Linked DNA regions of Notamacropus eugenii. The protein of the gene in region 1 interacts with the protein of each later gene in a pairwise test. Links are inferred from orthologs where the notes say so. Each region holds a gene or a part of one and is shown in the gene's direction. Other genes may lie near its edges. The genes, in order: HSPB1, FXR1, PELO and PPM1A.

Evidence for each region.
Region 2: the proteins of HSPB1 (region 1) and FXR1 interact in a two-hybrid assay, tested with the Homo sapiens proteins (2 studies listed by BioGRID and IntAct). The link is inferred for Notamacropus eugenii from reciprocal best matches to the Homo sapiens genes HSPB1 and FXR1.
Region 3: the proteins of HSPB1 (region 1) and PELO interact in binary tests that used the Homo sapiens proteins (3 or more experiments, as listed by UniProt). The link is inferred for Notamacropus eugenii from reciprocal best matches to the Homo sapiens genes HSPB1 and PELO.
Region 4: the proteins of HSPB1 (region 1) and PPM1A interact in a two-hybrid assay, tested with the Homo sapiens proteins (2 studies listed by BioGRID and IntAct). The link is inferred for Notamacropus eugenii from reciprocal best matches to the Homo sapiens genes HSPB1 and PPM1A.

What each region holds. Positions count from the first base shown.
Region 1 is NC_092873.1:51,268,710-51,275,842, forward strand, and holds the start of HSPB1 (heat shock protein beta-1), read left to right. Parts: upstream 1-3,949; 5' UTR 3,950-4,441; coding exon 4,442-4,844; intron 4,845-5,188; exon of another isoform or gene 5,189-5,830; intron 5,831-6,022; coding exon 6,023-6,086; intron 6,087-7,088; coding exon 7,089-7,133. UniProt on the Homo sapiens protein: Small heat shock protein which functions as a molecular chaperone probably maintaining denatured proteins in a folding-competent state. Plays a role in stress resistance and actin organization.
Region 2 is NC_092877.1:343,425,778-343,433,010, reverse strand, and holds the start of FXR1 (RNA-binding protein FXR1), read left to right. Parts: upstream 1-4,180; 5' UTR 4,181-4,364; coding exon 4,365-4,415; intron 4,416-7,233. UniProt on the Homo sapiens protein: mRNA-binding protein that acts as a regulator of mRNAs translation and/or stability, and which is required for various processes, such as neurogenesis, muscle development and spermatogenesis.
Region 3 is NC_092875.1:410,128,636-410,136,215, reverse strand, and holds the start of PELO (protein pelota homolog), read left to right. Parts: upstream 1-4,373; 5' UTR 4,374-4,703; coding exon 4,704-5,429; intron 5,430-5,917; coding exon 5,918-6,349; 3' UTR 6,350-7,580. UniProt on the Homo sapiens protein: Component of the Pelota-HBS1L complex, a complex that recognizes stalled ribosomes and triggers the No-Go Decay (NGD) pathway.
Region 4 is NC_092872.1:303,345,302-303,353,528, forward strand, and holds the start of PPM1A (protein phosphatase 1A), read left to right. Parts: upstream 1-5,049; 5' UTR 5,050-5,185; intron 5,186-5,804; exon of another isoform or gene 5,805-5,877; intron 5,878-8,227. UniProt on the Homo sapiens protein: Enzyme with a broad specificity. Negatively regulates TGF-beta signaling through dephosphorylating SMAD2 and SMAD3, resulting in their dissociation from SMAD4, nuclear export of the SMADs and termination of the TGF-beta-mediated signaling.

The sequences.
Region 1 (7,133 bases):
GCCCAATCAAGAGGTCTTAGAGATCATTTAGTCCAATCTCCTCAGTTTACATAAGGCAACTTGATGTTGGGAAAAATGTAATTGACTTCAAAGAGAGCTTTGAACTTAGAGTAGAGCTAGATACTGGGACCAAGAGAGAGCAAGTGACCTACTCAGGGTCCCACAGTATGGTTGTGGTATTAGTGACAAAGCTGGAACTCATGCATTAGTCTCCTGACTCCCAATTGAGGGCTCTCTCCTATAAAATATATTATAATCATCATGTGATAGAGACTGGCCCTGTAATTTCATTGGAGAGCTTCACCTGGGGAACTCCCAGGTGAAGAAAGTCTCTCCACCAATGCAGAACACCACCTTCTTTAAAATATATAGTCTTGGTTTCCTAGAGATTAAATAACTTGCTCAGGGTCACACAGCCAGGATGTGTTAGAGGGAAGATATGAATCCAGATCTTCCTGGTCCCTAGGCCAGCTCTCTACCCAATCCTCCAAACTGCTAATAATTGATAATAATAGTAATAGTAGACACTGTTAACATTGATTCTTTATGAACTCTTGAGTCTCACAGCAACCCTAGGTAAGCAGTGCTACTAGTATCCCATTTTTGAGTTGAAGAAACTGAGGCTCAGATAGGCTGTTTACTACTGTGTAACCTTAGGAAAGTCGTGTAACCCTCCTGAGTCTATTCCAAACATGCCCAGCACCTTCTCTGCCCAGAACACTTTTCATCTTAGAGCAGCCCAGTCTCTAAAAGGAGATAAGGATGTGAAAAGGACTCAGAAGGATGAAGCAGGGCAGGGAGATACATCAGGAGGTTTAAGATGAGAGACCAAGCCCTGGGCTAGGTGGGGAATGGGGACCACCAAGTTCTGCCATGGGAGTTGTTTGCTGCCTGCTCAGTCCTTGTATTCTTGTCTTGAGTGCTACCCTCCCACCCCCAGGGCCTGATAGAGTAGGAAAAGCAAATCTAGGCTTATAGGATCAGAGAATTTAGAGCTGGGAAGTCATCACATCAGTCAGATCAGCTTAGAGTTTAACCTAGTCTAAACTGTTCATTGCACTGGTGAGGGGAAGTGATTTACCCAGGAGCATACAGTTAGTAAATGACAGAGCTGAAATACCTACCCACTTCTCCCTCCTGGTCCAACACCCTTGCTGCTGCTACCGGAGCTTTCTTCCCAATTCTGTCATTGTCACAGTGTGACCTTGGGCAAGTTCCTTTCTTCCTCTTGACCTCAGTTTCTTCCTCTGTAAAATGAGAGGTTGGAGCAGATGACTCTAAGCTGGTTGGACTGATGACTTCATGGTATATGGACAGACTGTTCCATGGCAGGCAGATACAAAGGGTAGCTGGCCTTGGAGATTCATGTCCCTCCAAGTTCACTCCTCAGAGTTGAGCATGACCCCAGTGCTTGTTCCCTATGGCTTTACTTCCTCAAGGTTCTAGTTCTGAGCTGATCCCCTTGGCTGCCTGAGATATCCTTCCTCTTTTTAGTCATAGTTTTCTCTTTAATGGCCCTTCTCCCTTTCTCTAAATGTCCTTTTTACTCTCTCCCTCTTGGGCTGCAGCCCACGTCTAGAACCTGGCTACACTTTGTGTCTTATTCTTGATGGCAGAGAGCAGTGAGTACTGACCAAGGAGAATTCTCAAGGAAGAACTCACCTACTATAACCAGGGATTTAGGAAGTGATTGGAACAAATCTGTCTTTGGTTAAGATATCACTGATTCAAGGAGGTTGTGGGGAGAGGGCGTGAGTATGCAGGGATGGGACGGATGGGAGAAAGGAGAGACAGATTCAGGGATACAGACTCTTGTTTTAAATCCCAGTTTCACCACTGACAGCTGTGTGACCTTCCCCTGGTTTCCAGACCTTTCTAAGGGTGGGGACAGTTCTAAAGTACAAGGGGAGGGGATGATGAAAGGAGATTTAACCTGTCAAGTTGTTTGGAGCCCACACCCACAGAACACAGCTGGCATTTGTCAAGAGTTATAAAAGACTTTGAGATTCTAACTCCTCAAAGCTTCCTCCTCCCAATGAGGAGAGACTCCCAGACCCCACCCAAGGACTAGGTGAACAGGGAAGATTGACATTCCTTGTGGTTTCTGATCTCACCTATTTTTCAGAAAACATGGTTGGGTGGGGCTTGGGAGGACCAAGAGTCAAGCTGCATAGAAGCAGATCAGAATTCCTCAGCCCTCCATCCCTACTATTTCCCATCCCTAGAGGATTGGGGAAAAGAGAAAGCAGGAGAAGAGGAGGTTGCCCAATGGAAACATGAAGGCATCCACAAACATATTCATCCATTGTTTAAAGATTCCAGGGCTCACCTCTTCTACCCCTTCAACTTAACCGGGTCTGATGCTGAGCCCAGCCCTGCCCCTGGCTGGAGTAACCTGTTGGTGGGAGGAGAGAGTCAGTGGGAACAATTCAGATAGAAGAATCCTGCTTGGATTATTTTGTTCTATCTCTTTGGATTAGCCTTGTTTTCCTAAATTGGAAACTGTGGGGCAGCGGGGAGATGAGGGCAGGGTGAGCTGTGTATATTTTCAACTCTTCGGCTCTCTTTCTTCCAGATTGCTCAAAGCACTTTATAGGTGTGATCTCACCAGCCTTGACCCAGCCCCCTTGGGAACGGACCTGGTGTGGGTTTCAATCATCTGTCTCATCTCTGAGCTTGGAGCCTTTTACGGGCTTGAGCTCACTCATTCTATTTCTCCAGTTCTCCTTGACCTAGGGGTGGGATGGGGGTGGGGAGACACTGATGAGTAATAGAAACAAAGATTTAGATCTCACATAGAGCTTAGAGGTCACCAGATCATAGAATCGTAACTAGCTGGAGGGGACTTCTGAGGTCATTTAGTTCAAACCCCTCATTTTAGATATGAGGAAACTGAGACCCCAAAGAGTTAGGGGGTGGGGCAGACTGGAGCCCTTCACAGCAGCTTAGCTTAAGTAATGAAAGTGACTTCAGAGGCTGTCTGTCTGTTTTACAAATGAGGAAACTGAGGTCTGAGGCGGTGAATGACTTGCCCAGGGTTACACAGGTATTGTTTCAGAGGTGAGATCTGAACATCAGGTTTTAAAGAGTTCTTTCTATAGTGTCCACAGAGGACAAATTAAGGTTTTGAAAGACAGAAGACTTTGTGCTACCCAGCCTGGAAGATGAAGAGGGTGATGTATCCTCAGTGTCTCTTTGATAGAGTCCCAGTCCCTGCCCCACCTCTTCAAGCTATTTTATACTGGGATGTTTGCTATGCTTCACAAATAACTGCCCCAAGAATAGATCTTGGGGGTCCCCAGTTTCCCAACCTCCCTGTGAAGTGGGAGATCAACGTGTGTGTGCCTGTTGTTGGGAATTAGGGTTATATCACAGAGACAGCCCTAGCTAAGAGCTAACTCAAGCCTGGGCAAAGGACCCCCCTGGCGTGGGGGCTAAGGACAGGAGATGGACAGGGTCAGGACATGAGTGCAGAGGAGAGACAGGAGAGGAAATACCCTTGCAGAGAAAGGGAGGGGGAGGGGAGAATAGAAAAAAGCATTTGAGACCTAAAGCTGAGATTTTTCAAGATATTGTACCAATAAGACAGTCCTATGTCTTTCTCACTCCCCACCCCCAGCCCCTAGCTGTAGGGTCAGCTTTGTACTGCCCTCCTCCCCAAGTATCCTCTTGTCAGGGTGAATGCTTAGAGTTAGGAGTAACATGGTTCTGCTTTTGAAAATGTACAATAGATGACCTTAGGGGAGTAGCTGACTCCTAGAGTTTCAGCTTCCTCATCAGCAAAATGGGAGCAAGGGCTTTAAGGGCTCTTCCAGCTCTAAACTTCATGAACCTACAAGTTTGCTGGTTCAAGGCCCTGTTCTGTGTGTCCTTGGCAAAGTTGCAACCCTTTCTGGGCAATGGGGAGAGGCATCTCTTTGAGGGGGTGTCATAGATAGGGAGAGGGGCAATCCAGTCACACCTTGTTCCCTGGGACACCCAGCTAAAGTCGTACTCTCTGTACCCTGGGCAGTCTTGGCCCAAGTACATAAGAAAGGGGGGATGATGAAGGAGATTCTCTTCTCCACCCCCCATCCCCCTCGTCCCTCAGTCTCTCACCACCTTCCCCTCTTTCTTCCTTCATTTTCCAGAAAGATGAGTGAAGGTTCGAGGTCTGGGGCAGGGCTTGGGCTTGTTCTCCCTCCCTCTTTTCCTTTTCTCTCTCCCTCCCCAAGGAATCTAAGGGGGTGGACGTTGTCCTAGCCCGGCCCCCCTGCTCCCGCCCCCCCAGGCTTTCTGCCCCAGTGTAATTACCATTAATAGAGTCTTGAGACAGTCTTCTAAAAATAACTGGCTCTGGCTCTTTATAACCGGGGCCAGCCCAGCCTAGACACTCAGTCCCAGAGCTCCAGGGGAGAGTTGTAGGTCCTGAGCATTACCCACCCAACACTAAGAATTCAGCATGACTGAGAGACGAGTTCCCTTCACCTTTCTGCGAAACCCCAGCTGGGACCCCTTCAGGGATTGGTACCCAGCCGGCAGCCGCCTCTTCGACCAGTCCTTTGGACTGCCCCGCCTTCCAGAAGACTGGTATCAATGGCCCAGCCACACCAGTTGGCCAGGCTATGTCCGGCTGCTGCCCAGCCCTGTGGCCGAGCAGGTTCCCGCTGCTGCTGCTGCTGGGCCCCTGGCACCCCCACCCGCTGCCGGCCAGGCCTTTAGCAGAGCACTCAGCAGGCAGCTGAGCCGAGGGATGTCAGAGATCCAGCAGACAGCTGACCGTTGGCGAGTAACCCTGGATGTCAACCACTTTGCCCCTGAGGAGCTGACTGTGAAGACCAAGGATGGCGTGGTAGAAATCACTGGTGAGTAGACATCCCAGCCCCTTGTCCCATTTCTCCATATTGCCCCTGAACTTTATTGTCTACCCAGGGCAGCCCAGTTTGGGGGGGCAGGGGTAGGGGAATGTTAGTCCTGGCTATGGGCCAAGGGGAAGGGAGAGTTGGGGGGCAGAACAGGCATTCCTCCTGGGCCTTCAGAGGGAGAACATTGAACATGCTATCAGCTCCTGGCTGTCTTGGGATAGGGCAGGGCATGAGGGGCTGGATACCCCAGACCCTGGGCCAGGGGTTCTCATCCTGGGGCAGGAGGTGATGGGTTAATCAGAGGGCCTTAGTCAGAGGCTCCTCCTAGCATCCTTCCCTCATACCTTCATCCTGAAGAAAGTTGGCACACGCTGTTCTCTCTCCCAGCCTGGACTTGCAGAGAGAAAACATGTTTATTGCTGCTGCACATGAGGGAGGAAGGAACCTAGATGGGACTTGGCTCAGAAACCTTTCCCCCCAAATACCAGACCCAAACTCCACCCCTAGGCCCCCTACAGGGCTGAGCCCCATTCCTTTGGCAGATTGTCATTCTTTCCACGTTAAACATTAGTAGAAAAGTGCCTACTGTGTCCCAGACACCGTACTGAGAACTGGAGATACAAGGGAAGGTGAAACCCCACTTTGCCTCTGTGCTCAGCCATCTTCCTACCTTTGGAACCTTCTGATCCTGTCTGTCCAGAGCCATGGAGCCATTTAAGCTCCCATGCCCAACTCCCACCTCTCAGCCTTAGAGGCTGGGGCTGCTTCCAGCCCTTTACTGAGGACTTCAGAGAAAGCTTCATGCCCCTCTTCAAAAAGCTCCCTGGCACTTGGATGGCCACACCTACCTCTACCACTTCAGGACAGTGCACTAAATGTGGAGGTTTCCCATATCCCCTCTCCCACAAGAACTCACTCAAGAGAAGGGAAATCACAAAGGATTATGGAAAACCACTGCATCTTCAGTCAGAGGTTCAGAGTTCAAAAGTCTGGCTCTGCCATTTACTGTGTAATCTTGGAAAGAGTCATTTCCTTTCCCTGGGCTTCTATTTCCTCTTCTATTAAATAATGGTCTCTAATGGAATTCTGAGAGAACAGCTGGGGGGAGGGTGGATGGTATTAATGTGTGTCTCCCAGAGGCCCCCAGTCTTCATTTGTTTCTCTCCCATCTCCCCCAGGCAAACATGAGGAAAGACAAGATGAGCATGGATTCATCTCCAGATGTTTTACTAGGAAATACACGTGAGTATTGGGAGAGGGGGCTGGCCCTTGGAGAGAGGTCTCCAATTCTCAGTCATAGCCCCTTGTATTCCCTCCATGCCTACTTACCCCTCCTGTATCCACCCCCCCACCCCCCCACCTCACCCCCCACACAGACCCACTCCAGACAGACGGCAGGATCTGGTAGCAATTGTCTGGGTCTGAAGTCTCAGTGTGTGCCCAGTCCTTTGTTCTCCTGTACAAGCAGAAGGAAGTTTGCTTCTTGACCCAAGAATAGAAGGAAAGCCTGGTGGTGAACTTGGAGGTCAGAAAGACCTGAATTCAAATCTCACTTTTGCCACTTGTTAGCTAGATGACCCCCCCAAAATTATTTGACTTGAACCTTTGTTTCATGAACTTTAAGAAGAGGTGAGTGGGCTAGAATCCCTGAAAAGTCCCTTTTAGCTGTAAAACTATGATCTGTATGAGTATAAATGGATCCCTATGACAGGAATGGAGGTTTATTGCTAGAGATGGGCACACAGATGTCAAGATTGAGGGCTTATTGTTGGTGACTAGAGCAGTTCAGTGCTAGGGCTAAGGGCTCAGGGGCAACAACCACGCCCCTCCCCCCCAAAAAGCTCCATATATTAAGAGTCTAGAGAGGCAGCGTGTCCTACCTGACAGAGAGCAAACCTTGAAGCCAGAAAGAACCCCTCCTCCAACACATGCTGGCTATGTGACCCTGGGTAAATCACTTAATTTCTCAATGTATTAGGTAACTCTAAAACTTTAAGGTTCAGAGAAGGGGTCAGCCTAAATTATTAGGTGTTTCTTTACCCAGAAGTTCCTATATCAAGGAAATCCCAAATCCAGTCTCTAACCCTCTAAATGTCTATGATATACAAAACACTCAGTCAGGACTAGAGGAGATATAAAGTTGAGAAAAGACATGGCCCCTGCCCCCTTCAGCTTCTGACAGACAGTCCTGGCATACCTAACACAGGCCTTGCACCTCAGACCTCTCTGTCTTTCTCTCTTCAGCCTGCCCCCTGGTGTAGATGCCACTTTGGTTGTGTCTTCCCTGTC
Region 2 (7,233 bases), on another chromosome or scaffold:
CACAATTCTTTGATATAAATAAAATTGAACTTTGCAATTCTTAACTTGGCATACTTGAACTCTAGAATTCCTACACTTTTACCAGTTTAGTGGCGTGAGCCACAACAAGTCACTTAAACTTCTTGTCCCTCATTTCCCTCATCTGTAAGACGAAGAGGATAATGTCTCCTGACATTCTTACTTCCCTGAAGGGACCGTCAGAATTAAATGGGAAAAAGTCTCAAAAATATAAACGGAAACATGAAGGTAAGAACTCATTATTATCACAACTTTAATACCTCTTAATAGAAAAAATCTTCTCCTTGGGGGTAAAGACAGTTCAGATTTTTTGGTGTGTTTTTTTTCTGGAGGATTTTTGGTCTGGATGTAAGCAATCATTTATTAAATGAAAGTCACTTAAGAGGAAAGGCACTGGAGTTAGATCCTAGAGAAAAAAAAGAAATAAAAAGTCTCCAACCTCAAGTTGCTTATATTTTACTGAGGCTGTAACAATGATGTTTTATCTGCATTATGGGACAGTTAGGTGGTGTAGCAGATAGAGTATCAAACCTGGAGTGAAAAAGACCTGAGTTCAAATGTGGACTCAGACACTTACTAGCTATGCGACCATGGGCAAGTCACTTAACCTCTATTTGCATGAGTTCCTCATATGTAACATGGGTACCCAATAGAGAAGAAAAAGGCAACCCACTCCATTATCTTTGCCAAGAAGACTCACGTAGAGTTGGACAGGACACAACAACCGTCATTATATTATAAATATGTATGTGTGTGTGTGCGTGTGTGCGTGTATAGAATCTTTCTTATATATCTCATATATAATCTTCTAGATAAATCTTTCAAATTTATAATCATCTCCTTTTAATCCTTAAAATCACCCAAGGAGGAGACACTGGGAGTTGGCATCATCCCCATCTTATACCTTTGAAAATTCTGGCACAGAAAGGTTAAGGAATTCGTATTGGGTCATATAGCTAAATTAGTAACTGATATACGAATTTGAACAGAAATTCAACCGTTGACAGAAGCATTTATGTTGGATAAGGCGCTCCTCCTCAGTTTGGCTATTAATCCTCATCCTGATAAGTCTAAGAGGTAAAATGAACCTCAGAGGCTCTGTCCAACCTTCACATTTTGTTGGTGACAAAAAAGAACCCAGGAAGGTTATGTGATTTCCTTGAGGTTTCAAGGCTCATAAATGACAGGGGAGACATTTGGGAAACTTACATCAGATTTAGGGAATGTAGAGCCAGACCCTTAATCTGAGGGACTGGAGGACTCTCTGGAAAATAAAGGGCTTGTTCTAGAACTAGAAAAATAAATAAAACCAGCATTTCCACCCTCACTCCCACCCCCTTTAAGTAGTCATGGCATTATTCATCATAGAAGTCTAAAGGAGTAGCTGTTTCCAAAGCTGTTAGACAATATTGTCCGATCTCAATTCAACTGACTTCACTCATTAGTCCCAATGTTATTTTCTTTAATATCTGTGAGTACGTTCCAGCTAATTTTCTGGTATGGTAACAAACTGATAGGTTGTGATAAAAATAAAAGATGTCCAAACAGCCCATTGGAAAAACAGTTGAGACATCCTTCCTTATGCCTGCTGCTGAGTCATTTATAAAATCCAGATCTGTCACTATCCTGTGGGAGAGAATTCTTGGCTGAAAAAGATAGGATTAGAAGGAGTATAGGTACATGGGAATACCAGTTTGAAAGGACATGGGGCTTAGAATCATAGACTTTAGATAAGATATGGGTGGATCTTCAAGGTCTTCTAATATCTAGAATGGAAAGGACTTTGGCTTTGAATCAATTTAGATTCACAAGTCTGTCTCTGACACTTGAAAGCTGTGCTCCTCCGGGGCAAGAGCCTCTCTGAGACTATTTTCCCTTCTGTAAAATGGGATAATAGTACTTCCCTCACCAGGCTCATTAAATGCTTGGGCTCCATTGTTACAGAACGACTTACTCAACACTTATTTGAATCTCAGCCTTGCCTCTACCTAGCTCTGTCTTTGGCCAGATAAGGGATGCCTTATATATGAGATGAATACTTATTCACTGAGAGAATCTCTTATTCAATATTAATAGTAACATATCTGAGAGATTTCTTTACATGCTGATTTAAAAGAAAAAAATGACAAAACATTTAATCATCTCACTTATTAAAACAAGAACAACATAATCTTCAATAGGAAAACAGACATGAAACAAAATCCTTATGTCAGTTTTAGGTCATTCTAAATTGTGATAGCCTGACTCAGAAGGTTTAATTTCCAAAATGAGCCCCAGTTACTTTTATTAATCCACTCAGTTCACATTTTTTGAATTTTGCTTTGTTCTAGATGAAGGTTTTTCCACCACCTTGACCTCAAGTTTTCCTTCCTTAAGATTTATGTTTATTACCTTATCTGTTTATCCATTAAGATTCAAGTTAATCCATGTGTCCTGGGCCCAAGGAGAAACTTTTGGAATGGAAATTGCAGAGGTGACGGAAATGATCCTTTTCCTTTGCCCAGAGTAAAAAGGAGAGATGGAAACATAGATTTTTCCTCCCTTGATCTCGTCTAAGTCTGGAGTGGGGAACCTGTGACTTCTAAGTCCTTGGGTGCTGTCTTTTGACCAAGTCCAAGTTTTATAGAACAAATCCTTTTATTCAGCGGATTTGGTCTTTGAAGTTTGGATTCAACGGGCCACAGTTGAGCACCTAGAAGGTTGAAGGTTGGATTCAAAGGGTCACAGTTGAGCACCTAGAAGGTTGAAGTTTGGATTCAAAGGGCCCCAGTTGAGCACCTAGAAGGTTGAAGTTTGGATTCAAAGGGCCACAGTTGAGGACCTAGAAGGTTCTGTAAAACTTGGACTCTGTGGAAAGGCTACACCCAAGGACTTACCAGGCCACGTGTGGCTTTGAGGCCACAGGTTCCCCATCCTTGATCTAAGTAGGTATCTCTAAAGCAACAAACTCCCTTTGAGGTAAGGTTCTACCATTTTAGAACAAAACCATTTTTGTGCCTCATGCTTCAGCTACACAGCGTCTGGGACGGAGAAGGCCATTGAATGCAAGCTGATTGTGCAGATGGGAGGCGATGTTTTCTACCAGTTAGGTCAAGGGAATGCCATCAACCCCCAATGCCATCACCAAGGTGGAGATCCTCTGACTGCCCTGGGTGCCCTTGAAACAGCTCCAGTGCCAACAGGCGTGGGAAGGGGGTTGAGGTCTGTGGTTTGAGGGGACTTCTGCTAGGAACCGAATCCACGTCGCCTCCCAGCGTTCCTAGGCACCCCTCAAAGCCCGAAAGTTGGGGAGCCGGGAATGCTTGGCATCAGCAAACGGCATCCCGGTTCTGCAAGGCCCAGCACGCAGTAGGTTCTTCTTCGTAGGCAGATAAAGCTGTTAGGAGCCCGTTGGAAGAGTCTGCGTCCTCCAGCCCTAACACAGGAGGAGGGAGAGGGTCCCCCGGGACGCTGGGGGGTGCCCACGCCTCTCCAGCAAACACAAATGGCCCCGGGGGCACCCAGGAAGGGCTCCTTGGGGCCGGCCGGGACGGGGGTCTCGCCCAGGAGGAGGTGCCCTGCGCTCCTCGTTCGGACGCCGAAGGGCCCTTCTCGGAGCAGGGTTGGGGTACTGGAGCAGTTTTACAGAGGAAGCCAGTTGGGGAGAAATATTCTGAAGACAGCCGCCCGGTGTTCTCAGACCGACAGCGCCTTCCACGAGGACAGACCCCGGGCTGGTGAGCGGGGTCGGGCCCAACCTGGTCCTCCGAGCTCCGCGCCCACGGGGCCTCTCCGCCGCAGGGGCCGGACGGTGGGGGGGGGCCGGCGATTCGAACCCCCGGGGGAGGGGTCACGTTCTCGGCCAAGTCGGGGTGGGGGAGCTGGCCAAAGAATGACCGGGGCGGGGCTGAGTGGCGGGAGGGGAGGGCGGCGAAGCGACGGCCGCGGTGGCGGCGGGGGGCGGGGCGGAACAGGGGGCGCCCCTCCCTTCTCCCCTCCCCCACCCGCCCCGGGCTGGCCCCGCCCCCAGGCTCCCGCGGCGCCGCCCGGCTGGCCCGCTAGCAGGCTCGCAGGCTGCCGCGGGCGGGCGGAGGCAGCCGGCGGGTCACGCTGCGGACGCGGCGTGCTGAGGCCCGGCGGGCGGAGGGATCCGGCTGGGCGGCGGGCGGGCGGGCGCGTCCGGGGTGGGCGGCGGCGCGGCGGCGCAGCGGCGCGGCGAGACCCCGGGGTGCGGGGCGGGGGATCCCCAGTCCCCGCCCTGTTTTCCCCCCCGCCCCTCACCCCACCTCCTCCACGCCCCTCCCCCCTCCTCCCCTCTGGTTGGAAAGTTTCTAGAACCCCTTCCCGGCGGCCCTTGCGGTTCCAACATGGCGGAGCTGACGGTGGAGGTTCGCGGCTCCAACGGGGCTTTCTACAAGGTAGCCGGGCCGGGGCTGGGACCGAGGCCGGGATTGGGCGGGGAAGGGGGCGGCGGCTGTGGGGGAGGGTGGACGCGAGGCCGGGGCCGGAGCCGGGGCCGAAGTCGGAAGGGGCGGCCCCGGGGGTGGGCGGCCCAGGCTTGGGGCGCGGGCGGGCCGGCGGGCGGCACGGCCCGGGCCCTGCCTCCTGGCGCCGCCGGCGGCCGCGGTTTAACGGTCTCGGACCCCGGCTCCGTTAGGCTCTGAAGCCGCCGGGGACCGGCCCGGGGCTTCCGGGCGCCGCGCTGCGCCTGGCCGGGGTGGGGCGGGCCCAGGCTATCCGGGGATTGTGCGTTCATAGGCCCGCCGAGGGGGCGGGGAGGCCCGGCGGCGGCGCCCGCGGCCCGGTGACCTTGGGCCAGCCTCTTGGGCTCCGCGCGGGGCCTCGCTCTACCGCTCCGGGAAGTGGGGGCGTAGGCCACGGAACCCGCCCGGAGGCGCTTTCCTGTGCCTGGAGATCTCCGGAATGTCTCCCGGGGGTGGGGGGGCGGTGGCCCTTATTTCCAGCGTTGTGTTGCTTAGAGCATCCTGGGCCCCGTTTGTGGGGTGGGGGCGTTTAATCGGGGGTGTAAAGAAAGGCGAGGAGGTGTGGGCAGCCGGGGAAACACGGACAGGCCTGGCAGGGCAAGAATCCCCCCCAAGAAAAACCCTACCCCCCCACACTTCCCCTTCTCCATCTTTTTCTCTCCCCCCTCCCCGCCTTGTTTTATACTGCCGCCCTGCCCCCATGTAGGCCGGGATGTTATAAGATCGATACGAACCCCCCCTAGCTCTTCCCCTCCCCCCAGCTGTCGCCCGTCCGTCATCCGGTCTAAGCCTGGGCTCAGATGTTTCAGAGTCCGGGCTATTTTGGTGGAGGCCGCGGCCGTGCGGCTCGGCCCGAGCGGGGGCCCGCTGGGCGTCCCCTCTGCTGGGGGGGCCCTGGGTGAGGGCAGAGCCTGCAGGACTCGGGCCCCGGATCCGCGGCCTTTCGGGGCTGGCGTTTTCGTCCCCAGAATAGAGGGGGCTGCGGGCGGGCGGCGGGCCGGAGCCCCGACCCGGGGGGCCCTCCATCTGGCCTTTGTGTCTTGGAAAGCTTTGTACCCGGCGAACGGACGGGTCCGGCTGGGGTCCCCTGGATGAGGGAGGTGGCTGAGGAAGGCGAGGCTCGGGATCCTTTCTCTGGGCCTGGTGACCCGGGCGGGGAGGTAGTGTTTACAAAGTAGGAGTTAATTCTCTTAAAAGGTGGGCAGGGCCGAGCTTGTAATGGAAGGGTCACGACTTTCCTTCTCTAAAGTCAAAACTTCGGTGGCTAGAGTTTTTGGAACTGCTGTTCTGTTTAAATGAAATACTTAAGTATTTTAGCCCTGAAAGTTCAGTGTTTTCAAAGTGCATCTAGGAAGTGTAGTTAGTTACTCTTATTTTCTATAGGAAACGATAGTGTGCATTTTTTTCAGACATTTAGCTGCGTCTTGGACCACCACGTGGGCAGTGGAGAAGGGGACTACGTACATTTCGTTTAGCCTAAGTACATTTCATTAATTTGTGGTGGCAGCTAGAAGGAAAAATGCCGTGTCTGAATTTGCTCCTAACAGTTATTTCCCCAAGGTGATTTTACAGGTTGTTTTTATGGCTATTAATTTGCAGGTAGGGAATATCATTTTTGGAAGCCTCTGTAAAATATTTTAGGAGAGATGAAACTTTTTTTTATACATTCACAAAATTGGCTAAAAAATGAAAAGGACTAAAGATGAATTATGAAACATGAGGAGAAGAGGAAGAAGAAAATACAGATGAAAACTCTTTGTCCGTAGTCTCAAATTTATTTTCCAGACTGTAACCCTTTAAAAAAAAATAATTGTGGAACGCACTAGGACAAATGTGATTAGAGCATTCAAGGTTCAGCTATCTGAAGTAGAAAGAGTACTGGACTTGAAATCCCAACTCCAATTCTTCTGTAATCAGAGCTTGGTTCATTGACCTCATTTTATTTCGTTTTACTTGTCTGTAAAATGGGAATGATAATACACAACACTACCTACCTAACTAGGTTGTAGTAAGGAGGGGGAGGGGTTTTAAAAGTTCCAGGGTAAGTGTAAGGGGGTTAATTTAACCCTGAGTATTACTGACTATTTTTTTATATCTGGGAAAACTCTAGAAAATAACCTTAGTGCTTAACACTGATAATTTTAAAAATTCTTAAAGCACCCTTTTATTAGCTTTGAGGGTTTTTAATATTTAACCATTGCCAAAGGATACACTTTGCTTAGGGAGATATTGAAAGTTAGGTCATACTATACTTGTGCTTATGTAGGGAAAAGTTTCCATGGTGTCCTAGGTTTCTAAGGAAAATAATGCCAGGTTGGAAACATGAAATTTGAAACCCTCTTTGTTAATCAACTCCATTTATATATATTGGTAATATATAATATATATAGACTTGGGATTTTAGCTATAATTTGTCACTGAGATCAGAAATCCAGAATACATGATTAGTTGGTAAAATTAGCTTTAAAATATAGCATAATTTACTGTTCAGAAAATTTAAAGAATTGAAATAGCTCTGTTGTGTGTTATGATAGCCTAGATAACTGGTGTGGTAAAGACTATGTATTTTTGTTTTAAGTTTTGTTTGTATTCATCACTTTTAGTATATTTGCCATCAAAAATTAGGCGTAATGGAGGAAGGTGTAGTTATTAATACATGCTGTGTATCCACCTTAATGATTTTGCTAAACCACTGAAGCAGCATTAAACTTAGGTTCTCTAGTCATGTCATTTATAAATTTTTGCATTATGT
Region 3 (7,580 bases), on another chromosome or scaffold:
ATTTGGATGTGTTGTGTATGGGTTGCCTATCAAGAATCAGCTTGATGTTTGTTGTGGCAATACAGCTATCTCCCTAACCATTAACTCACTGTAATACTGAGACCTGTGGGATGGGATGAGGGGACATGGAAGAACCATGTGACTGCATTTCGTGTTGTATTACCTTGGGATTGAGTCAGGGAAAAAGAGTTCTTTTAGGAAGGGGGTGGAGACGGAGTAGATATGGAACGCATAAAGACTCCCTTGTTCAAAAATGTGTCTATCCTTTTGTTATGGGGGACTGGCATGTGCAAAGTATTGGGGACTGTATCTCCTCAAATGGGAGGGCTAGGGAGGCTGACTGTGGGAAAGTCACAGTGACATGTAATAGAAATGCCTCAAAGAGATCTTGGCATTGATTTAGACATTCTATAACTGGTTCGGCTAAATTTCTCTATCAGTGAAAAGAATATTATACAAATGTTCCAGGCTTGAGACCTGGGTTACAGCTAGTTGGTTGTTGTTCAGTCATGTCTGACTCTCGTGACCCCATTTGGGGTTTTCTTGACAAGGCTACTGGAGTAATTTGCCATTTTCCTTCTTCAGCTCATTTTACAGATGAGGAATTGAGGTCAGCATTATTAAGTGACTTGCCCAGGGTCACACAGCTAGGAAGTGTCTGAGGCCAAATTTACACTCAGGAAGATGAGTCTTTTTGACTCCAGGCCCAGCACTCTATCCACTATGCCACCCCGCTGCTCTGGGTTACAACATATTTACCAATTAGAAACTTTTTGGGGGAGAGGGGCAGGGAGAGAAATCAAATCAAAGCTAGAAAATATTGTTTCACACCTTAGAAGGAATTACTTCAATCAGACATCAAGACTAACACCTGGACCAGATTTCTTAACCTTTTTTTTGAGTCATGAACCCTTCTGACAACCTGGTAAAACCTATGAACCTCTCCTCAGAATAATGTTTTTAAACTCATTAAATAAAACATATAGGATTAGAAAGGAAACCAATTATACATGTACCACAGGCAGCCCTGACCCCTACCACCTGAAGGCCAAGGGTGTTAGATTTTACCATTTCACCCCTTTCTTAGGGTTCTCTGGTATCCTTAAGAGGACTGAGGGGTGTGTGCCATTGGCTCCAGCTCCAACTAATGGTATTCCCCCATATATAGGGGGTGTGATTCCCTGCATCCTAGTTCCTATTAGCCAGTAACAGCCATAGTAGCTTTTACACAGAAATCTTTACTTCAAAAGGTAGAATCACAAACATACAAATTTACTCCCCCATCATGTGGGAGGCATAATCCTCATCCTCTTTGGACCACCCCAGTGCCTGGAGAGGGGAAAGGAATTAGATTCATAGTTTAGCTCAGTTCCAAGACCAAAATCCCTCTGGGGCTGGAGTCCCCATGTACCCTGGCTTCTCTGGCCTTCCAAGCCAGGCTGGCTGGATGCACCACCCTGTCTGCAATCCTGGCCTCAATTTTGCCAGGGTTCAAACTCCTGGGGGAGGGGGATCATTTATGCAGCTAAGAACAAACAACATAGAACAAAAACACGCGCTCCCAGGTCCATTTCTCAGGGCGGACAGTCCTTTCCCTCTCACCAGTTCAGTTACAGGCATCCCCACCATGGGTAAACTGGGTAGATGTATAGTAGCAGAAAGAGATCAACCTGCTCAGTCTCACCGATTTTAAAGATGCAGGTAGCCAGTCAAAGGATACTAAACCCACTCTTGTGGTAGGGGAACCACTGGGCTCCATAGGCAAACTGGGAATGCTCAAAAGGCCCCTCAAGTAGACCTCTATGTTAGACAAACTGGGCATGACCCAACACACTCAGGTTATAGACAAATATAATTATCAAAATGTTTTTGTAAAAACAAATTTATAGACTCGAGGTTAAGAACCTCTTAATTTAGATGAATGTTGCTGGGCATTTACAGCAAGACTTTTGAATGCGAAAAGGTACAGAACAAGAAGCATTCTTGGTGAGATAAGGGAATTTGGATGGCCAAAGTCACTGTTGCTAACCTTAACTCAGAGACTACTGTACAATAAGCAATCTTCTAATGAAACCAGGTAGTATGAGCAGTTGATCTGGATCTTGGTTGAAAACTTTTTGCCTGACTTATCCAATTGTTCCCCCATTTTTTTTTCTTGATTTTGGCCAGTAACGTTTGGCCCCACAGTACTGTGAAGAGAACTGTTTCCAAATCCAGCATTTTACACAGGCTACTGATCTGCAGAAAGTGCAGATTGGTAGTTTTGGATTCTGCAATTCCCAGGACACTGGGTCAAGTAACTCCAAGGCTTTCTAAATGGTAAATTCCACAAATGCTTTCTGCCTCTGGAATCAGTGCTTTTTAACTATTAGTTAAAACTAGGTCATGTGAGGACAGTTGGAAAGATCAGAAAGTCAATCTAGTTGGTTAGGCATGCAAAGCTGTAATGCCATTTATTTTGGAAACCTGACACACAAATCCCACATGTATACCCAGCTCAAAGTGGCAATCTGTTGAGTATGCACATGGGAGCTGAGGGAAATGGTGGGCTGCAGTGATCTGTCAGGATTAATGTCACCCACCCTCCTGAAAGCGATGACGTTTGTAGATGGTCCTTAAGAGCTCTGGATGTGGAGCCAAAGGGTCTCACTTTGAATCCTTCCATTTATTCCCTCTTAGACCTTGGGCAAGTCACTTAACCTCACTGGACCCAATTCCTCATTTCTAAAAAGAAGAAAGAAAGAGAGAAAGGATGAACTCTGTAGTTCAGTTACAGGCATCCCCACCATGGGTAAACTGGGTAAGATGTATAGTAAAAGAAAGAGATCAACCTGCTCAGTCTCACCAATTTTAAAGATGCAGGTAGACAATCAAAGGATACTAAACCTACCCTTGTGGTAAGGGAACCACTGGGCTCCATAGGCAAACCGGGCATGCTCAAAAGACCCCTCAAGTAGACCTCTATGTTAGACAAACTGGGCATGACCCAACACACTCAGGTTATAGACAAATATAATTATCAAAATATTTTTGTAAAAACAAATATATAGACTCCAGCTTAAGAACCCCTGAATTTAGATGAATGACTAAAATCATTGACCCTTTAAACCAGAGATTGCTTTTCTTTTTTGTGTATATCATGGATTATGCTGCTAAAAATTAGCACCCAGCTATCTGATACAATAATATCCACAATAAACTTTAAAGCTTAACCTGCATTATTAGCATTTTAACATCAGTTAATTTAACACTGACATTTTAATATTCCATCACTCTTCAGTCTAGGCAATCAACCAAACAATAAATCATGCCCTGAATTGTAGTTTGCCAATTTGAGGTGTAAATGCTCACTCTGAAAATTTAACAGTGTACTAACTGCTTCCAGCAAGCCCATGCATGCACCCCCTTTGCAGTCTGGTGGAGTCTGGGGACTCTTCTCAGAATGTTTTTAAATGCGTAAAAATAGAAGTCATAGGACTACAAAGGAAATCAATCATTAATCAGCAAACATTTATTGAGCACCTACTGTGTGCCAGGTGCTGTGCTAACTGCTGGGGATACACAATAGTAACTAACATTGAACGTAGCACATAGTAAGCACTAGGCATGACACTAAGAGATTTACAATTGTCATCTCCTTTGATCCGCACAACAGTCCTGGAGGTGTGGGGGGGTGTATGTATGCACATGCATACGTGCGTATGTATACATATGCGCACATGTTTTACATAAAATATTATATATTTTCCACTTACAGATGAGAAAACTGAAGGAGAGGTTGTTAGGTGACTGGGCTGGGCTGGCACAGCTAGTAGATGTCTCAGGCCACATTTGAACTCGGGGATCTTCCAGGTCCCAAGCTCTATCCACCTCCCCAACTGACTTAAAAAAAAATTACACTGAACTACAGGTATACAAAGATTTTCAGACATATTCACAGATCCCTTTCTGTCTTTGATCCAATAGACTATTAGCCCTCGGTGTTCAGGGCTTGTTTCAGTTTTATGTGTTCTCTTCGGGGCTGGGTACACAGAAGCGTTTAATAAATGCGTGCTGAATGTTGAATGAATGACGCCCTCCCAGTTCCAAGGCTTGGGGCTCCATGAGAGCCGTAGTAGCAGGGCTGCGCGCAGAGGCTTCCGAGACGTCCCGGTGCCCCTCCTGACCACGCCGGCCACGCCCCTCCAGGCCACGCCCTCTCGGCCACGCCCCCTCCCGGCCACGCCCCTCCCGAGGAGCCCAGGCAGCGGCGGCGCCGCGGGACCAGTGCTAGCGGACCCGTTCACTCTTCTCTCAGACACAGCCAGCTCCGGCGAGCGGAGGCTTAGTGCTCAGTGAGCCTGCGCACGCCGCATGCGCCGTCCACCGCTTCCGTAGCTTTACGTACGCCAGTAGAGACGTGGCTGGGGAGGCGGTCTCTTGCGCAGGCGCACTAAACAGCCCCCGTTGAGTCCGCGCTGCCGGCCGGTCTGAGAAGGGGGCGGCGGGGCTAAGAGGCTCCGGGTCTTGACCGCGGCGCCCTCCCACCTGGGCGGCGGGGTCCTGAGCGCCGCGTGCGGGAGAAGGAAGGTTCTCTGGGGCGCTCTTCTCCTCCTTCCGCGAGGCGAATACCCGCCCGGCGGGGCGGCGGCCGCCAGAGCCAGGCCGGAGGCGGCAGGGCCCGGCCCCTTCCCCCCTCCCTCCGGCCGCCCCCCGCCGCCAGCATGAAGCTGGTGAGGAAGGATATCGAGAAGGACAACGCGGGCCAGGTGACCCTGGTGCCCGAGGAGCCCGAGGACATGTGGCACACGTACAACCTGTTGCAGGTGGGCGACAGCCTGCGCGCCTCCACCATCCGCAAGGTGCAGACCGAGTCCTCCACGGGCAGCGTGGGCAGCAACCGCGTGCGCACCACGCTCACCCTGTGCGTGGAGACCATCGACTTCGACTCGCAGGCGTGCCAGCTGCGGGTCAAGGGCACCAACATCCAGGAGAACGAGTACGTCAAGATGGGCGCCTACCACACCATCGAGCTGGAGCCCAACCGCCAGTTCACGCTGGCCAAGAAGCAGTGGGACAGCGTGGTGCTGGAGCGCATCGAGCAGGCCTGCGACCCGGCGTGGAGCGCCGACGTGGCCGCCGTGGTCATGCAGGAGGGCCTGGCCCACGTCTGCCTCGTCACGCCCAGCATGACCCTCACCCGCGCCAAGGTGGAGGTGAACATCCCCCGCAAGCGCCGGGGCAACTGCTCGCAGCACGACCGCGCCCTGGAGCGCTTCTACGAGCAGGTGGTGCAGGCCATCCAGCGCCACGTCCACTTCGACGTGGTCAAGTGCGTCCTGGTGGCCAGCCCCGGCTTCGTGCGGGAGCAGTTCTGCGACTACATGTTCCAGCAGGCCGTGAAGACGGACAACAAGCTGCTGCTGGAAAACCGCTCCAAATTCCTTCAGGTACAGTAACCCGCCTAGCTGAAGGGCTGACCCAGATTAGAGCTTAGGGGTTGGCATCAATGTTAATACGTTGTGTAGGAGGGAGGACGTTTAGAGGGATAGGGAAATGACCTTTTTCTTAATCATGTCCAGTCATCCTAAAATGTAAGCCTGGCACTAAGAGAAAATGAATGTCCCATTTTTTCCACATTCATGTTTTCTTACCCTTTTAGGGGAAAAATGATTTAGGTATGCTTAACAATAGGCAGTTTGATGCTAAGAGACTTAAATGATCAACCTGTGTTATGAAGTCCTTATGAAGCATCTCTACATAAGTAAATATACATAACTTTAATGTGTAAAATACATAAGTTTAATGCCTTGCATGTTTTGACATTTTGGTTAGGGTTGATGTGTTTAACGTTAATTGAACAAGTATGAGTTAACTTTTAAAAGGAAGAATATGTGCTCTAAAATATTTCATCCAACCTCTGTAATTGTGATTCCAGGTACATGCCTCTTCTGGGCACAAATACTCGTTGAAAGAGGCCCTTTGTGATCCTACTGTGGCCAGCCGCCTCTCAGACACCAAGGCTGCTGGTGAAGTCAAAGCCTTAGATGACTTCTACAAGATGTTGCAACATGAACCTGACCGAGCTTTCTACGGACTTAAGCAGGTGGAGAAGGCCAATGAGGCCTTGGCAATTGACACACTGCTCATCAGTGACGAGCTCTTCAGACACCAGGATGTAGCCACCCGAAGCAGATATGTGAAATTGGTGGACAGCGTCAGAGAGAATGCAGGCACAGTTCGGATATTTTCTAGTCTTCATGTATCTGGGGAGCAGCTCAGCCAGTTGACTGGAGTTGCTGCCATTCTACGCTTCCCTGTCCCTGATCTCTCTGACCAGGAGTCTGGTTCAAGTTCTGAAGAGGATTGATGATGGGCACCTCTAAAAAGACACTATGTACCACCCAACTCCTTCACCTACATAAACTAATATGTAAAACAAATATTCTCAAATCTAGTACGAAAGCTGCTAGGGAGGTTCAGTTTCATTTACGTGAGTGGGTTTTTCTTGTCAGGCTAGTCTCTTTGTATTGGAAGACCAATACAACTAGAAAATAAATTAAGATAAAAGTAATGTCTAATTTTATCCTTATTCACATTGACAATTACTTTTAGGAAAAAAATGGTTTAGAAATACTAATAATATGCAATTGATACTTAGGATAAAAGTTTTTACATCAGCTGCATTCACTGTGTACTGTACTGGGGTTAAGCTACTGTTTCTATCTCTTCTTCATATTTTCAGAGTGCATTGCAGGAATTTTACTTAGTCCTCACAAATAACTAAACTGACAGTGTTTTTTGGAAGATGGATAGAAAATTCACCAAAGAAAACCTAAAAACTGACACTATTGTTTAAGGAAATTACAGGAATTGAATGAAATCATTTCTAACATGCCAAGAAGCCATTGTGCTTTATCCTTAAAAGTTAACTTTATGCTATTTGGTGCACTACTTAACCTACTATTCATAGAGTTTTAGAGCAGGAAGGAACCTTTGTAAATGTAACACTTTTATTTTAGAAATGATAAACTCAGGTCCAGAGAAGTTAAAGTGACTTTCTTGAGGCCAAGCAGGTAATTATTAGCAAAGATCATAGTGGAATCCAATTTTGACTTCATGTGCAGTGGTCTTTCTTTTTACTTATTTTGATTTGTCAAATTTATTAATAGTTGTAGTATTAGAATTTCAAGTTGACTAACTGGAAGCTTTAAAGCAGTATTTTCTAGATTCTAAACAGTTTTCATTTAGTCATGCAATTGCATCATGATTGAATAGAGCCTGTATGTGGAAAAATAATAAGATATGTTTGACTTTTTTATAATTGAAAAGGGTTGCTAGGTAATTCTCTAGTTCACTAAAATGTCAGTGAATGATCTATCCCTGTTTGAAGTGGTAGATTATATTTTGTTTATGGTCTGTGGGTATCAAGTGGAAAGTTTTAGACATTCATTAACTCCTGATCAGTCCAAAATGATATGATTTATTTCTTGTTCTGACAGTTGACATATGTAAATGAAATCTACTGATAACACGATCAATTTTAGTATTTTTCAGGGGCCTTCTGAAAACTATCTTCACAAAGTTGCTAACCCTGAGTA
Region 4 (8,227 bases), on another chromosome or scaffold:
TTAGAACATTCTGAATTCGTATTGGTTGGATCAGACACAATTGGACACACTGAAGCTTGACTCTAACATAGTGATGTTATCTTGTTCCTCTTTGAGAATGAAGGACAACAACAAGCCAGCTTGACTGCTCAAAAGAGCAGGATAATGAATATTTTTGGTTCTTTGGTTTTTTTTTTTCGTTTGAGGTGGGGTAAGTTATAACACCTTCAGATAATTAGACGAATTTTTCAAATTATTTTATATAGACTCCGTCTCTTATGTTCAGAGTACTTATTGAATGATAGAAAGACTTCAGTTGAAACTGACCTAAGTCACATCAAAGTATCTTGAACAAAATGTTTATCTTAGATCTTTTAAAATTTTATTTTATTAACAAGAATCTATTTTCTCTTCCTTCTACTTCCTTCCATATTGGGGCAGGGCAAAATAAAATCCTTTAAATAAATATACATGATCAGGCAAAACAAATTCCCACTTTGGTCATAGCTCTTCTCCCCAAAAATGTCTCAATATGTGTCTGAGTCTATGAGGTCTCTGTCAGCAGTGGGTACTATGTTTCATCATGAGTCCTCTGAAATTGTGGTTGGTCATTGTATTGATCAGAGTTCTAAAGTATTATAAAGTTGTCTTGACAATGTTGTTGCTGCTATGGCATAAATTCTTCTCCTGGTTCTTCTCACTCTGTTTCAGTTCAAACAAGTCTTCTCAAGATTTTCTGAAGCCATCCCTTTCATCTTTTCTTAAAGTACAATAGTATTTCATTCCATTCATATATCATAATTTGTACAGCCATTCTCCCAACTGATAGGTACACCTTTAGTTTTCAGTTCTTTGCTACTGCATACTACAAAATATATCTACCTATCCAGAAATTACTTTGAAACTGCATTGTATATAATTTACTATGTACAAACATTTTCCCCTAATAGAATATAAGCTCCTTGGAGGCACTGACTGATAGAGTAAAAGTATCCTCTTCACCTTGCACAAAGTCTGGCATATGTAGATGTTTAATAAATGAATTTTGTTTTCAAAAGAGTAGCAAATAAAAGGTCAAATTTTGGAACTGAAGACCATTAAAGCAAAATTTCAGAGTCTTTTTACCTTTCATTAAAAGAAAACAAACAAACAACAGCTTCACCCCTTCTCCAGATTTTCCTAAAACAATGTAGAATAACTTCATTCCAGGGCTATGAAATCATAAATTAAATTTTGTCAAAAAATTCCTTGTTGAAGTACCACAAAATTAGATGAAAATGAACATTTAGTCTTGTGTATTTCTGCTAAGACAAGGATTTTAACCTGAGGTCCAAATGTTTTTTAAAAAACATTTTGATAATGTATTTCAATATAATTGGTTTTCTTTGTAATCTACATACTTAATTTCATGCAATTGAAAGCATTTTGTGCAATCCACATATTTTACCAGACTCTGCCAGAGAAGTCTATGATCAAAAAAAAAAAAAAAAAAAGGTGAGAACCTGTTTTAAACTTAAAAAAAAAACTAAATAGAGATTTAAAGAACTTTAAAAAAACAAAAAACAAAAAGGAATATTCACCCATAGGTATATTACTCAAAAAGCAATAAAAAATTTTCTAGTTCTTAATAAAGTATTATTTTAAAAGCTCATAAACTTCTTGATTTACACTAAAAAAATTTTTGAGAGCCACATCTAGATAAAGAGGATTTCAGCATATTTGCAGTTTATGGTAGACCAACTCAAACTTGGAGTTTTAAAATCTCATTCTGTTTTTTTTCTCATGCTAGGATTTCTTAGTTTTACTCCCCCTTTCCCTGGCTCCCACCAGTTATTGTAATTGTTCCAGATTCTCCTAGACTATAAAGGTATTGGATAAGAGTAGAGATTTCTTTGCATACTGCTATAATCCTTAGGATTACTCAGGAAGGGTTGTTCTGGCTTGTCCCATTGATGCAGTTACTCTTACCTGTCTACGCTAATCCTCTTCAGTCAAAATTTACCTAACATCACGGACATTTTGTTGCTCTTGCACTTGCCACATTTACACAGCTGTTAGTTACTTTTCTGGAAAATATGAGTGAAGAGGGGGATTGGGATAAGGTAAGAATTTTTTTGATAATGGAGCAAATAGTTAATTGAGTCTCAAGTTTTTTTTTTAGGGAAAGGGTAGATAAGTTTCTAGTTAGTACTCGTGGTCTTTGGTTGTGATGAATGATGTAATCTTTGAAATAGAAGATAAGACCAAAAGAGATATTTATGGGGGGAGGGAGAGAATTGTTGCAATAACTAATTACATAGATTTTGTTTAATGGACAAAAAAATGGAGTTTGGATTTTATGAGTGATTTCCCACAACGACATTTTTATTGCCAACTAGCTTCTGTGTCTTGTATGGTGCTCCTTCTAATCATGTATTCAAAATTTAACTTGGGGAGAAGCTCAAGAATCTTAAACTCAAATTTTTTTTTCTTGGCAGTATAAGGAGAAACAATTGGGAAGTGTATTCTTAGATGATGCTAGAGCAGGGAGATTAAGTGGCATTTTGTCTATTTTGCGTTTGGTATTTGAATTTGGACACTTACCTATTTCTATCACTCTAAGAAGTTCTACCCCCTAAACAGGCAGGATAGAGAAGGTACTGTGTTTATTAAAGATTCTGCCTGCAATTCACAATTGGATGATTTGGAGATTTTAGGAATTTCTTATTCTGAAAATAGAGGGAAAAGGACTGTAACCTTAGGAAACAATGTTGCCAAAAGCTTAAAAAGTAACTGATAGATGATGGATTGTTTTGGTGGAAGGCTAGAGTGCCTTCTAAAAACTAACAAAGTAGTTTTTATCTGTAACAGTGTAGCAGTGTACAAAAGTACTACAATTGGCAGTTAAGGCAAAATGAGGAATCACCACCAAGAGTGAAATCGTAATCCTATTTTTAATGTGTTTGGCTTCTAAAAATTAAAAATTATTTTCCAGGACATCCCCTATTTAAAATGTGTTGATTTTTTTGTGGTAAAACTTCTAAAAAAAATTCTACTCCTTAAAAAAAATTCCCATTTTGTTACCATATCTGTTACATATGTCATATTTATAGAAAGGTTAAGCTACTAGCAGAAAGGGGCAAGAAAAATTAGACATTGAAAGCATACTCTAGAGATGGACTGCTTTTGATTTTTTGATTCATTGGCTAATTCTCTTGTCATCCCATATATTGCTTTCTGAAAACATGGGTAGAGATTTATTTGCACGTGTTATTTCAGTTATTTAGTTCATCCTTAACAGAAGTAGCTGTTACATTTCTGTCCTTCCTGTCTTAAAAATCCTTACTAACCCTCAGTACTTTGAAGTCCTTTGTTATATAGACATGTGACTAACACTTACAAAGAGAATTTGGAATTTCACCAGCTCCAGAATGACATCTACTAGGAACTCATTTTTGCCTTGTGTGCACACACCCAGTTGTATGTGGGTGTCAAAGGATGTCGGTAGAGGCATGTGTATGTCTGTGTTTGGAACTTGTGAGGAAAACAATGGCTTAAGCAAAAAGAGAACTGTAGGAAGTTTGTTGTTTCAGTCCAGTCCGATTGTTTGTGAACCCATTTGGGGTTTTCTTGGCAAAGTAATTAGTCATTTTCTTCTCCAGCTCATTTTACAAATGAGGAAACTGAGGCAAACAGGATTAACTAACTTGCCCAGGTTCCCACACCTAGTAAGAGTCTGATGCTGTATTTGAACTAAGGTCTTCCTGACTCCAGGCCTGGAGTCCACTTATAAAGTTTAGAGGGGTATATGGATATATGAGAATTAATGTAGGTGGGACGGGAAGGAATGGACAAGGTGAGTATCTCTGTTTGACCAGAGGAGGGATTATTGAGGATCTACAGGGTCAAAAATGGGACTGGCAAAAATGCTGGAAGACCTGTAAAATCAGATATTTGTAATTTTAAATAGGGGAGTGGCCAAAAATTTAAGTTACTTCCAGGGTTGCTTGTTTGGATGGCTGGTTAAAAAGTATTTCGTGCCACACTGGTGTGGATATTTTACATTGTGTATTTATATTCAGAAAATCATTTGGAAGAAAAAGTGTTTAAGGAGATGAAACTAGGGGTATGCATAGGATGTGGGTACATAACATAAGGTTTATTTGGGTTTCAGGTCTAGCTTAAGAAGATGTGAAGGCCTAGTGTGGGCGGTTACAATTCATGTAGTCTTCATCAGAAACCAAGCTCTGCCTACCACCAGACTTCTGAAGGGCTATTTTGGGACCACATTCTACAGGGCTCAGAACAAAACGTGCACTTTCTCAACCACACCGAGATCAGGAGACGATGCTACTAGCCAGGATGTGTGCATGGGGCGTGGGGTGGTGGGGGAGGGCTGGGGGCGGAGTGTAAACCAAGGTGGAAGCTTCCATTCCCCCTTTCCTATACACACACAGAGACAGACACGCAGACTCACACACACACGAACTCTAGCCCCTAGCAGGCCGGCGACGGGGAGGAGGCAGCCAAGTAAAGATGGGGTAGAGGAATTATGTCATTCCTAACCTGCCCCTCCTCCACCTTACCCTGGCTGAAGTTCCAGCCCAACAACATCCGGGTCTTTCCAGCTGCTACAAGGCGCCGCAGCTGTGGAGGGGAGAGAGGAAGGGGAGGAGGGAAGAAGGAAGGGGGGGGGTAGGGAGAGGAGGAAGAGGGAGTGGGGCGTGAACGCGCGTGCGAGCGTGCGCGCTGGAGGAGGCGGAGGCGGCATCGACATTAGAAGCGGGAGCGCGCTTGGGAGCGAGACAACCGGGTCCCGGCGCTTCCTCGGCCCCGAGCTCGGGGACTCGGCGGCGGCTGGATCGCAGGACCGGGTGGCTGGGGCGGGGGTGGGGGGAGGGGGGGCGGAGAGACCGACACGGGGCCGGCGCGGCCCGCCAGCGATGAACTCGCCGTCAGCTCCCCTCCGGGACCCGCTCCGCGCCTCCGTCCCAGTGCCTGCGATGATCTGAGCGACGGCGAGGGCGCCACGAGCCGGGGGTCCCAGACACGTTCCACCTCCTCCCCCCTCCCCTTCCCTCCTCCCGGACGACCCGGCCCGGCCCGGCCCGCGACGTGCGGTGACCCCCCTCCCCTTTCCCCTTCCCCCCCTTCCCCTTGTCCCTCCCTAGCCGGGCCGCCGCCACCGCCTCGGACCGGGGACCCGCTTCTTCTTCTGCCGCTCTCGGTAAGCCCCGCGCCGGCGACGCAGGGCCCGAGAGGGGGAGGCCGCTCCGGGGGCTGCGCGGTGGAGACGGCGGCTCCTCCTGAAGGGGGGAGGGGGGGGAGGAGGAGGAGGAGGAGGCAGCGGCCTGGCCAGGCCCGGGGCCTGTAAACAAGCTGGGGCGGCTGCTCGGGCACTCCCGGGAACACCCAACAACCCCACCCCCTTACCCGGCCTCCCCCTCGGAGGAGACGAGCGGACCGAGGAGCTCGGGAGGCGCCCGCGGGGAGAAGCTCGCGGGTTAACGCTTCCTCCTGGGGCGGGCGGCGGGGGCTGGGCCGGGAGTGTTTGTGTCAGAGGAGGAGGAAGGGAAGGCGACCCTCCCCGGCCCCTCCCTCCCTCTCCCCCCCCTCCCCCTCTCGCTCCCTCCTCCCTGGCCTCTTCTCTCGGACCTCCCTGGTCTTTGGCCGGAAAACCTGGGCTTGTTAGGACCACTGGCTTTCTTAACTTCCCCCCCCCGCTAAAGGGAGAGGGAGTGGAAAGTACTGGGTTTTGAAATGGCTCTGATGTCCTAAACCCGCACCCCACCCCCAGCAACCTTGGGCTTGGTCCTCTTGTGCCCCGACTCATGGGGGTGGGGGGGATGGGGAGAGGTTTTGACTGCGATGATGATCAGAATCCAAATGTGGGAACAGTTCTTACACCGGGGGCAGGAAGTATGTATGGTTTTCCTCCAGGTGATTATTTGATTGGACCATATTTGCCTTGGAATTTGTTTTGGGGAGAATCCGTAGAGAACATTTAGGAGATGGAAAGGTGACTTCGGGGGGAAGTAGGTGAGTTAGGGGCTAGCTTTTAAATTTGAGTCTTTCTAGTGAGGTATCTAAATTTTGACGATCGTTTATTGCAAGGTAAACGGAAACCAAATCTATTAAAATAAATTGTATTGATTTTTCTCTTAGCCTTTAAACCGTGGGGGTGGGTAAAGAGAGCTTTATCAACTCAGAAATTTTTAAAGCTGAATGAAGGTTTAGAAATCATTTAGTCCAGCAGCCTTAATTAAGGAATTGAGGAAACTGATCTCGAGAATAGGTTCTTAAATGCTTGAGAAAAGTGTAACTCATCCAGCAATTTCTTACTTCGTACATAAGATCATGTGTTTCACTTTTTCAGGGAATGCATTCAAACACAAAACTGCATCCCTTCTATGATGAGGAATTAATTACAGAATCCTAATATCAAACTTTTTTTGTTTAGCTCATACATATGGAGCACATTTGTAAATCTTGTTAAGATTACCTCAGTTTATGCATTTCACCAATAGTCATAGAATTGTAGCACTTTTCAATAAAGGATTCTAAAGCATTAGAATCACATGATTAGCTATAATTTAACATTTTTCACTGTAATTTTGTGTATATAGTCTGAAGCTCAAAGAGGTTGAAAGTTGATAAGCCTAAACATATTTTGAGGGAGACAGAAGTTCTTTTGATTTGCCGTAATTGCTTTGTTGAAGGATTTTATATAAAGTATTTTCAGGATTATGCTCTCTATTGAATGTTATTTGAAGTACTTATCCTTCATACATACAACATATAAACTTTCAACATTGTGTTTCTTTGGTATTCTGAAACTGGTGTGTGACTTGTTCTCTGCAAAAGTATTTCTGTAGAGAACCTCTGCTGATTTTTTTTTCTTTGGGAAATCTAGGGATATTGCTATGAGAAACTCTTGGTAGGAGGATGGAGGTAACTAGAGAAAAATTAGCTGAAACTACAAGTCTGTACAAGCAGTTCACACTTGATAGTTGATATGAATGGCATTATAACCACATTTTAAAGGTTTTTCTGCCAGTTCTGGCTGGATCTTGCTTCTCTTGACTAGATTTGCATATTTACTAAATTTCCTGTAATTTATCATATACTTAAAATATGAAACAAGTCACAAAAATATATTCATTTGAAGCTTGAGCTCTTTGAATTGGTATTTTATTTTTCACCATGAAACTAGCCCCATCATTAAAAAAAATTCAGAGATATTGATCCATGAATAATCTGGCTCCAGACTACCATTTTAGTACACGTAGCTGAGTGATGGGTGGATGAGTGCTGGACCTGGAATCAAAAAGACCTGAGTTCATTTCTTTTAGACTGATCCCAGCTGTGTGACTCTGAGCATATCACTTAATTTCAGAATTCTTCAGTTTTTCATCTGTAAAATGGGGATAATAAATAGAACCTACTTCCTAGAGTTGTAAGAATAAAATGAGATGTTTGTAAAACCATTTGTAAGTGCCATACTTTGATACAGTTGATGTTGTTGTTGCTCTTAGTTGTTCAGTTGTATATGACTCTAGGCCCTATTTCCTTCTCCAGCTCATTTTACATTTGAAAAAAAATGAGACCAACAGGGTTATTGACTTGTCCAGGGTCACATTGCTAGTAAGTGTCTGAGGCCAGATTTGAACTCAGGAAGATAAGTCTTCTGGAATCCAGGCCTGGCACTCTGTCCACCTAGCTGCCCATTAATAGTAGAAATTTTATTATTATTTCCCTTTACCCATTCTGCAGCCCAGGGTTCATATCCTACTGACTATTTCTCACACAGCACCTTTTCTTCCATCTTTCCTTTGCACAGTGTGTCCTCTTGCCTGGAATACATCCTTCCCAATCCATCCCACCTATTTTTTCAACCCAGGTGGTCTCACTGCCTCCACTCCAAATTCTCTGGCATTTACTTTGTATGTGTTTTTTATTGCATCAGCTAAAAGCCATTTCTTAAGCTCTTACTGTGTTTCAGGGTCTAGGTTAAACCCTTGAAATGAAGAAGTGATATAAATGAAAAAGTTCTTACCCTCCCAGAGCACAAATTCAGTAGACAGACTGACACATTCACATAAGTATGTACAAATGGAGGACTTTACTTATCTGTATACTTGTTTGCCTCCTCCCCAATTTTCCAGAATGCAAACTCCTTAAGGGCATATACTCTTCTGGTTTTTTATATTCTCAGTAGATTTATAAATACTTGGTCATTGATTGATTAGCATCAGTTCAAGAAGAATTG